Linked DNA regions of Xenopus tropicalis. The protein of the gene in region 1 binds, or shares a complex with, the protein of each later gene. Links are inferred from orthologs where the notes say so. Each region holds a gene or a part of one and is shown on either strand. Other genes may lie near its edges.

The links. The genes of interacting proteins can lie anywhere in the genome.
Region 2: taf1a (region 1) and polr2h share a complex: the UniProt entries of both Homo sapiens proteins name them as parts of the pol I pre-initiation complex. The link is inferred for Xenopus tropicalis from reciprocal best matches to the Homo sapiens genes TAF1A and POLR2H.

The regions. Positions count from the first base shown.
Region 1 is NC_030681.2:9,681,980-9,686,885, reverse strand, and holds the start of taf1a (TATA box-binding protein-associated factor RNA polymerase I subunit A), read right to left. Parts: upstream 3,205-4,906; 5' UTR 3,049-3,204; coding exon 2,940-3,048; intron 1-2,939. UniProt on the Homo sapiens protein: Component of the transcription factor SL1/TIF-IB complex, which is involved in the assembly of the PIC (pre-initiation complex) during RNA polymerase I-dependent transcription.
Region 2 is NC_030681.2:99,527,116-99,532,136, forward strand, and holds polr2h (DNA-directed RNA polymerases I, II, and III subunit RPABC3), read right to left. Parts: upstream 3,301-5,021; 5' UTR 3,288-3,300; intron 2,916-3,287; 5' UTR 2,907-2,915; coding exon 2,834-2,906; intron 2,741-2,833; coding exon 2,657-2,740; intron 2,020-2,656; coding exon 1,926-2,019; intron 1,816-1,925; coding exon 1,732-1,815; intron 624-1,731; coding exon 506-623; 3' UTR 403-505; downstream 1-402. UniProt on the Homo sapiens protein: DNA-dependent RNA polymerase catalyzes the transcription of DNA into RNA using the four ribonucleoside triphosphates as substrates.

The DNA.
Region 1 (4,906 bases):
TATAAATAATATATGGTGCTGGTTTCACTTTGCTCTTAAGATTAATAAGGTCTGTAAATATTAACCCTTAATTGGAGCTCCCTATAGATCCTATCAAGTCTGTGTTTCAAATGAGGGGTAGGCGTGTCCGAACGGTCCCTGCCAGATGCACAGTAGGAGGGGAGTAGCCAATCACAGCCCTGCACTCACACAAGCACAGACAGGCTTCAGTTCCCTATCAGGTCAGCCTAGCTGCTGATTGTTGGTTCCTATCCTACAGTGCAGTATACCGAGTGCTGCTGGCCCCCCTGCACATCCAAAGAACTCAGCCAGCAGGAAGTGGAACAGATGGGCGGGACTACTGGGACTTTTAAAAGCACAATCCTTCCATATTTAGAGGAGTATAATACACTGGTACATTCATAATTTTAACATGATATGTCTCCTTTATGAGGGCTAAATGTATCAGTTTACTGAGGGCAGAGGTTCCCTATATACAATTTAGCAACTCTACAGCCACACCAGGCCCAGACTGGCAATCTGTGGGTTCTGGCCAATGCCTCTGGGTACTGGGAATGCCAGAGGGGCTGCTGTAAGGTACCACAGACAGTCACTATTTATTGGGCTGGGGGGGCGTTTGTGCCTCTGGGTACTGGGAATGCCAGGGGGGCTGTAAGGTGCCACAGACAGTCACTATTTATTGGGCTGGGGGGGGGGCTGTTTGTGCCTCTGGGTACTGGGAATGCCGGGGGGCTGTAAGGTGCCACAGACAGTCACTATTTATTGGGCTGGGGGGGCTGTTTGTGCCTCTGGGTACTGGGAATGCCAGGGGGGCTGTAAGGTGCCACAGACAGTCACTATTTATTGGGCTGGGGGGGGCTGTTTGTGCCTCTGGGTACTGGGAATGCCAGGGGGGCTGTAAGGAGCCACAGACAGTCACTATTTATTGGGCTGGGGGGGAGCTGTTTGTGCCTCTGGGTACTGGGAATGCCAGGGGGGCTGTAAGGTGCCACAGACAGTCACTATTTATTGGGCTGGGGGGGGGGCTGTTTGTGCCTCTGGGTACTGGGAATGCCGGGGGGCTGTAAGGTGCCACAGACAGTCACTATTTATTGGGCTGGGGGGGGGGCTGTTTGTGCCTCTGGGTACTGGGAATGCCAGGGGGGCTGTAAGGTACTACAGACAGTCACTATTTATTGGGCTGGGGGGCTGTTTGTGCCTCTGGGTACTGGGAATGCCAGGGGGCTGTAAGGTGCCACAGACAGTCACTATTTATTGGGCTGGGGGGGGGGCTGTTTGTGCCTCTGGGTATTGGGAATGCCAGGGGGGCTGTAAGGTGCCACAGACAGTCACTATTTATTGGGCTGGGGGGGGGGGCTGTTTGTGCCTCTGGGTACTGGGAATGCCAGGGGGGCTGTAAGGTGCCACAGACAGTCACTATTTATTGGGCTGGGGGGCTGTTTGTGCCTCTGGGTACTGGGAATGCCAGGGGGGCTGTAAGGTGCCACAGACAGTCACTATTTATTGGGCTGGGGGGGCTGTTTGTGCCTCTGGGTACTGGGAATGCCAGGGGGGCTGTAAGGTGCCACAGACAGTCACTATTTATTGGGCTGGGGGGGCTGTTTGTGCCTCTGGGTACTGGGAATGCCAGGGGGGCTGTAAGGTGCCACAGACAGTCACTACTAAGGGGTATACTTACATACCCCCCAACTGTCCCGCATTGCGGGACATTCATGGAACTATCCGGCACAGCAGGATGCGCTTGCTGTAGCCGGATGTTCTTGCTTCGTCGGCTGCTTCGTTATGCCTCTCCTTGTGCAGCGCTACAGGCCCTTTTATAAGGTTGCGCCTGTGGGTGTGACGTCATTACGCATGGGCGCAACCTTATAAAAGGGCCTGTCGCGCTGCACAAGGAGAGGCATAACGAAGCAGCAGAAGAAGCCTGCGCCTATGGGAGGTACTGTGAATGGGGGGCCACTGTGATCGGGGGGGCCACTGTGATCGGGGGGGACACTGTGATCGGGGGGGACACTGTGATCGGGGGGGACACTGTGATCGGGGGGGACACTGTGATCGGGGGGGACACTGTGATCGGGGGGGACACTGTGATCGGGGGGGACACTGTGATCGGGGGGGACACTGTGATCGGGGGGACCTGTGGGGGGGGACACTGTGATCGGGGGGGACACTGTGATCGGGGGGACACTGTGATCGGGGGGACACTGTGATCGGGGGGGACACTGTGATCGGGGGGGACACTGTGATCGGGGGGACACTGTGATCGGGGGGACGGCTACTGTGTATGGGGGGCTACTGTGTATGGGGGGCTACTGTGTATGGGGGGCTACTGTGTATGGGGGGCTACTGTGTATGGGGGGGCTACTCTGTATGGGGGGGCTACTCTGTATGGGGGGGTTACTCTGTATGGGGGGGTTACTGTGTATGGGGGGGCTACTGTGTATGGGGGGGCTACTGTGTATGGGGGGGCAAAACTGGTACTTAGTTATAACTGACTGCCTTCTCTCTATACTTGTATTTATATGTAGGAGTTGCTATATTGTTTTCCTTAGGTAGTACAGTATGAGGGTATAGCACATTTTCGTCTGCGCCCGCCATTTCATCTATATAAAAGGGGTATTTTTTTTTAATGGGGTGTGGTAATTGGGGCGTGGCCACAAAAGGGGGCGTGATTAAAAAAAATGCCGCACTGCGCGCGCGCCAAATCTTTTTGTCCCTCTTTTCATTTTTCAAATGTTGGGAGGTATGTACTTATCATGCTGTGTAAAAAGTGGAGTAAAGCAGTACTGGTGATGTTACCCAGAGCAACCAATCAGCAATTAGATTTCAACAGTTAGAAAATCAAATCAAAGCATCTGATTGGCTGCTATATACAACAACACTGGTGATGTTTTACTCCACTTTTTACACAGCATGATCAATATACCCTTAAGTGTCTTTACCGTGGGGTTTCCTTCTTGGCACCGGCAGCTGGAGCCCCAGAACCTCCTCCTCACTCGGTCCCTCCTCGGAATCTTCCCTTTCCGCACTGCGTTCGCTGCTCCCATCCATCTCCCCTCGGTTACAATCAGACAAGCGGGCTGCTTCCCCCTCACACTGTGTTTACATTCCCCGCAGCGCCGCTTGCACTTCCAGCCCCAAGCATCCCGCAGGCATGTTCAGCCACACGCCGCTAGCCTCCTCTCGCGAGAATATGACGTCATGAACCACGTATAAAAGGGGCGGAGACGGCGCCAACTCGTCATTGGGTGAAGAGTTAGTCAGGCAATAGCTGGCAGTGGGGGCCGCTGACTGATTATTCTGCTCTCACAGATTCTGATTTTGTTAGAGAATAAATAAAGAAAATAACGACTGCTTTTTTCCTTCGTGTTTCCTTGCCATGGCCACTGCCCTTAGAAGCTTTATCCCCAGTGTTTGATGAAAAAACAAATATTTGCTTTCTCTGCTCCACAGAACATGTAAATGGGAACAAAAAAAACACTTTGTTTATATTTGTGGGTGAGGTAAATATGAAAAAAAGCTTTATTTTTCTGGTGATTACCAGCAATACCCACTACCCTCAGAGTCTGCTCCTGATATCCCAAACTTAGTATTTTATTTGAAGTTACACTGCCATGTTTTTGTGAATAATGGACATGGTTTTAATTTTTGATTTTTAAAAACCCTATAACCCACCCAGTTTTTCAATTATTGCCTCACTATTGTTACAGTTGGCCCATACAGAACATTTGGTCATTCCTTTCAGCTTTGATCCCTTTGGACATCCTTGTTACAGCCATACTAAGCAATAGGCAGCAATAGTTACAGCTATACTAAGCAATAGGCAGCAATAGTTACAGCTATACTAAGCAATAGGCAGCAATAGTTACAGCTATACTAAGCAATAGGCAGCTATAGTTACAGCTATACTAAGCAATAGGCAGCTATAGTTACAGCTATACTAAGCAATAGGCAGCAATAGTTACAGCTATACTAAGCAATAGGCAGCAATAGTTACAGCTATACTAAGCAATAGGCAGCAATAGTTACAGCTATACTAAGCAATAGGCAGCTATAGTTACAGCTATACTAAGCAATAGGCAGCAATAGTTACAGCTATACTAAGCAATAGGCAGCAATAGTTACAGCTATACTAAGCAATAGGCAGCAATAGTTACAGCTATACTAAGCAATAGGCAGCAATAGTTACAGCTATACTAAGCAATAGGCAGCTATAGTTACAGCTATACTAAGCAATAGGCAGCAATAGTTACAGCTATACTAAGCAATAGGCAGCAATAGTTACAGCTATACTAAGCAATAGGCAGCAATAGTTACAGCTATACTAAGCAATAGGCAGCTATAGTTACAGCTATACTAAGCAATAGGCAGCAATAGTTACAGCTATACTAAGCAATAGGCAGCAATAGTTACAGCTATACTAAGCAATAGGCAGCAATAGTTACAGCTATACTAAGCAATAGGCAGCAATAGTTACAGCTATACTAAGCAATAGGCAGCTATAGTTACAGCTATACTAAGCAATAGGCAGCAATAGTTACAGCTATACTAAGCAATAGGCAGCTGTAGTTACAGCTATACTAAGCAATAGGCAGCAATAGTTACAGCTATACTAAGCAATAGGCAGCAATAGTTACAGCTATACTAAGCAATAGGCAGCAATAGTTACAGCTATACTAAGCAATAGGCAGCAATAGTTACAGCTATACTAAGCAATAGGCAGCTATAGTTACAGCTATACTAAGCAATAGGCAGCTATAGTTACAGCTATACTAAGCAATAGGCAGCAATAGTGAACTGGATTTAGTCCCTAGGGCATTCGGGGCTTACTAACTAGGCTCCCAATTCTCTTCCTTGACCCCCTACATACAAAAGCTGGAACGACTGGTTGATTACAGGTAACTGTACC
Region 2 (5,021 bases), about 90 Mb from region 1:
TGCATTACTTTGAGGCTACTTTCCTAGATGTTGTAGATTGAAGTGTAGCAATTTATCTTGGCAGAGTTTGATGAAAAAGTAGCTTTTTTCTAGTATCTCAATGAGTATTATCGCTACAAAATAGCATCACTAGTTTAGTACAATGTTGTCTCTTTGTGGATCTCCACAATAATGATCATGAAGAGGACAAAATGCATGCCTAAAGTGCCTTTTGTTTCAGAACCCAGCTTTCCTTTTAAAAGCCAATTAGACTGCCTAGAAAAAAAAACTTTTTTTTTAACCAGCTGCACCAGTCATTTAACTGATGACTGGTTGAGATTTTTTTTTGTATATTGCTTTAAGAACATAAAGGATCACCTTTAAAATGTCACAGACTGCATTATTAAAACCTCAAAAGAACTATTTATCACAAAATAATATTTTATTAAAATACAAAAAAATACAAGATGTCAAAAGGGTCTATATTACATTCCAATACTGCACCATTCAATAATTCCCTTCAGCATTAGAAAGCCAGCTTCTTCATCAAGAGGTAAACACGAGAATCCACTTCAAATCCATGCAGATTGTTAGCATCTCCCTGAAGCCTCATTAGAAGTCCTCCATATGATACATATGCAGACCTAGAGGAAACATGAGCACGTTATGGAACACAGAGAATATTGGAAAGTAGAGGCAACTTGTGTGAAAGAGTAAGGGCACAAGTGAAACATAAGTCCCTTTCAAGTTTACAGAAAAATAAACCCTATTAGTATTGCTTGCTTTCATCCACCATAAATGGTGCTGCTTATTCTGCACAATTCAATTTGGTGTCTATTAAAAAGTGAGAGATGTCAGAGAATTCCCTAATAAATCACCTTCTACTGATTAAACTGTAAATCTGAAACATGCACCCTTATCTTTAAATTCCATCCCACTATATTGTAGACTTTGGGGTATATTTATTATGCTGTGTAAAAAGTGGAGTGAAGCATTACTAGTGATGTTGCTCAGGGCAGCCAATCAGCAATTAGATTTCAACAGTTCAACCAAAGCAAAGCATCTGATTTTGCTGCTATGAGCAACATCACTGGTACTGTTTTACTCCACTTTTTTACACAGCATGATAAATATAACCCTTACTGTGGAGTTCTAGGCTTGCCATATCCATAGATTCCAATAGGAGTAATCCTCTTATTGGATGTGGTCTACAGTTCAGCTTATTGGCATGGTGGAGCCTGGCAATAATTGTTAAAGGAAAAGTAACACTAAAAATTTTTAATTAAAAAATGTATTCTACCCTGCCCCAATAATTGCCCTATCCTGCACACCATTTATTATTTTGAATGCTTTATTAGAAAATACCTGCTAAATCTTGGCTTCCGGTCATTTGAAAGAGGGTGATACAGCGATGCAGGGCAGAATCCACTATGCGACGATCAATCCTCGCATAGTGGATTCTCCCCCCCTAAATTTTAACCCTTTCTGGATGCTAATTAGAATATACAAATTTATGCTAATTATGATTCGGTTCGGCTGGGACAGTGGATTTAGCCGAAACCGAATCCATCAAAAAAAGGCAGGATTTGGGGCGAATCCCGAACCGAATCTGGGATTTGGTGCATCCCTAATAATTTCTGTGTGTTGCCTTTCTGGCCCAGGTGCAAAAACCTTCTTGTCTTTTCATACAAAGAGCACATGCAGGTTTAAGATGAAGAAGCAAGTAACTGGGTAGATGATTTGGATTCTTACAGGCGGGTAGCGGCTTCTGTGGAAGTTTCATCACCCTCTATCCGATAGACCTTGCCGTACATGATGTATTCAAACTGGTCAGCTCTAAAAGAAGAAATGCAATGCATGAGTCACGTGCCTCACAAAGACTATAATTTGGAAACCAACAGGATGAACCATATGTTCCTTTTTATTTATCTGCAGTAATATGATACCTTGAGGGTCGGTCATCAGTAGGATTGTACTCTCCGTCATCCAATGTACCATCCTCATAGAGCGTACTGGCAATAACCAAGCGGAATTTATCCCCTGTGGAAGAAGAGTAAGAGGACACACAATTTAACAACTGTTGTGCAGTTAATCTTCATAAAACACTGGTAATGTGGTAGAATTTAAATACATCTTTGCATTTATGCACCGTGTTTAGTCAATGCAGTGCCAGCCATGCCATCATTTTTTTTTAGAATGGAACCCATAAAGCAGATCTATAGAACCCGCACCATAGATTTTACAAGCTACTTCAGGTATGTGCTACTTACACAACTAGAGGATCAACTCCTATTCACCCTAAAAATCCTCCAGCTTCTGATACCACCCCAACAGCACACTGCACCAAGATATGCATTAACCATAATAAAGTTTGTTTCTGGTCTTACAACTGGCAAGACCCAGAATCAGACAGACTAAATAAACTGTATTTGCAAATGATAGTTGCTAAGGGTTCACCGACACTTGCAGAGTGTTACTTAACAGGTAACAAAAGGCTGAAAACTGTCAGATAAGTCAATTTTGTTTTTGACATTTTAGACGTTGTGTTTGCAAAACATAAATCCACTGAAAATATTATTTTCATTTTATGATATTGTGTTTGTCTCTAAAGTGGACTCCTATTTCAAAAATGACTGCTATAATCATGTCAATGTACAGACAACAAATCCCAACTTACCCAAGTCCACAGGATAAACCTGTATATTAACATCAAGGATCAAATCCATCTTAAAAGACTCACTTTCACAATGTAACCTTGACACTAGAAGAAAAGTCACAACATTAGCAATGTAAAGAAAATAAATGGACCTTTCATGTTTGGAGCAGACATGTTTGGCTTTGCTATGCTGCTTACCTCGATCAAATTTTCTTCCTTCTGGATCAATATCCTTTACATCAAAGATGTCTTCAAACAAAATGCCAGCCATGGCAGATAGCTAGAAAGGTAGACTCTTATTAATATCTGTGCAGGGATATTTTGTTTTCTATAACTGAATGAGATTTCTAATGGTCAGACTGTTTTCCTTAATAATTTGGAGATACGTAAAGATATCCTGACACTATTAAGTTTCTACATTCTTATTGCTTTGAAATTTTGACGCTGATTTTTTTTTTATGTTTCCACGTGCTGTTCTGCATGATTTTGCCGTCACATCCTTCAATTTGGAAAGAACACATAGGAACCCTAGCTTCCGCCCTCCCTTCCCAAATCAATGACAGAAGGGGGAGGGCGGCAATCCAAGTATGTGCATACTGCCCGAAAGTCCCGCTTTTCCTTACAAAACCCGCAGTCCCGTATCACTACTTACTCTTCCCGCAAAGCCTGCCGGCTTCTAGTCTCGTTTACAGAAAATCCCGACGTCAAAGTCTCATCACGCGAGACTGGCGTCACGACTACACGTAACGCAATGACGCATTACGCAGCCGCCTGGGAGTAACGAGCCTACGTAATCGCGTCACACAGTAGGCAGCTGCTAGAAAGTCAGCTTCCAGTTCTACTCCTACTTCTGTTAGAAAAGAGAAAAAGACTATTTTTCATGTCAGTTGCCTTCTGCCACCTCAGCTCCAAATATTTCCTTAGCAGTCATTCATATAGGGAAGGAAGATTTTTTTTTTCCTGGTTGCCACCAGCAAAGTAAAGCCCAGTGAAATTTTAGTAATTTTAGTTTTTTTTGCAGTTATTGATTATTATGTTGGTTATAGTAACAATCAAATGCACAGATCTGCGTTTTACAGACACAATTGTAAAACCATTAGGGTAACAGTTCAGTGTAAAAAATGAAACTGGGTAAAATAGACTGCACAAAATAAATATTCTCAATATTGTTAAGCGAAAATGTAATCTATAAAGGCTGGGGTGAGCAGGTGTCTAGCATAATAGCCGTTAGGGCAGTGGCACACGGAGATTAGTCGCCCATGATAAATCTTCACCATTGCGGGCGACTAATCTCTGAAATGCCTTTCCATCAGCAAGAATGTAAATTGCCTGTGGGATGGTATACACATCGCTTTTGGTCGCACAAGGAACTGTTCAGTTAGTTTGCTTTTGCTCACAAACGAAGGGTCACATTTACTAATCCACGAACGTCCGAATGCGTTTCATTCGTAATGATCGGTATTTTGCGATTTTTTCGGAAATTGACGCAACTTTTTTGTAGCCATTATGACTTGCTCGTAAATTGTCGCAACTTTTTCGTAGCCGTTACGACATGCTCGTAAATTGTCGAGACTTTTTCGTAGCCATTACGACTTGCTCGTAAATTGTCGAGACTTTTTCGTAGCCATTACGACTTGCTCGTAAATTGACGAGACTTTTTCGTAGCCATTACAACTTGCTCGTAAATTCTCGCGACTTTTTCATAGCTGTCGCGCCGAGTACGAAAGTTTCAGATTCTTTCAAGCTTCAGTATTGTGACTTTCCTTGGGCCAGGTTGGAGCTGCAGAGTGCCATTGAGTCCTATGGGAGGCTTCCAAAATCATGCAAAGTCGCAAAGGTTTGCCCGCCATTTACGAGCGCTCAATACGAAAAAGTCGCGACAATATACAAGCAAGTCATAACGGCTACGAAAAAGTCGCAACAATTTACGAGCAAGTCGTAATGGCTACGAAAAAGTTGTGACAATTTACGAGCAAGTCGTAATGGCTACAAAAAAGTTGTGACAATTTCCGAGCAAGTCGTAATGGCTACGAAAAAGTCGCGACAATTTACGAAACAGTCGTGACGGCGACGAAAAAATCGCAAAATGTTCGTTTCCAATCCGATTTTTTCCCATTCGGGATTCGGATTCGTGGATTAGTAAATCAGCCCCTAAGTCTCACTAACAGTCCCATGTTCCCCCCCCCCCAAAGTCAATGACTAAGAGGTTAGAGAGCTGTGAGGAAGTAGTGTTCTGACTATAATGGTTAACTTAACAACGTTTGTTGCTGCTCAAAGCCTAATACTTATTGCATCAGAAGCAAGCCTTTTAAAAGGAGAACTAAAGCCTAACTAAAGAAGTAGGGCAGAAATGTTATACATTATGTTTTGGGTTTCTGTACCAGCC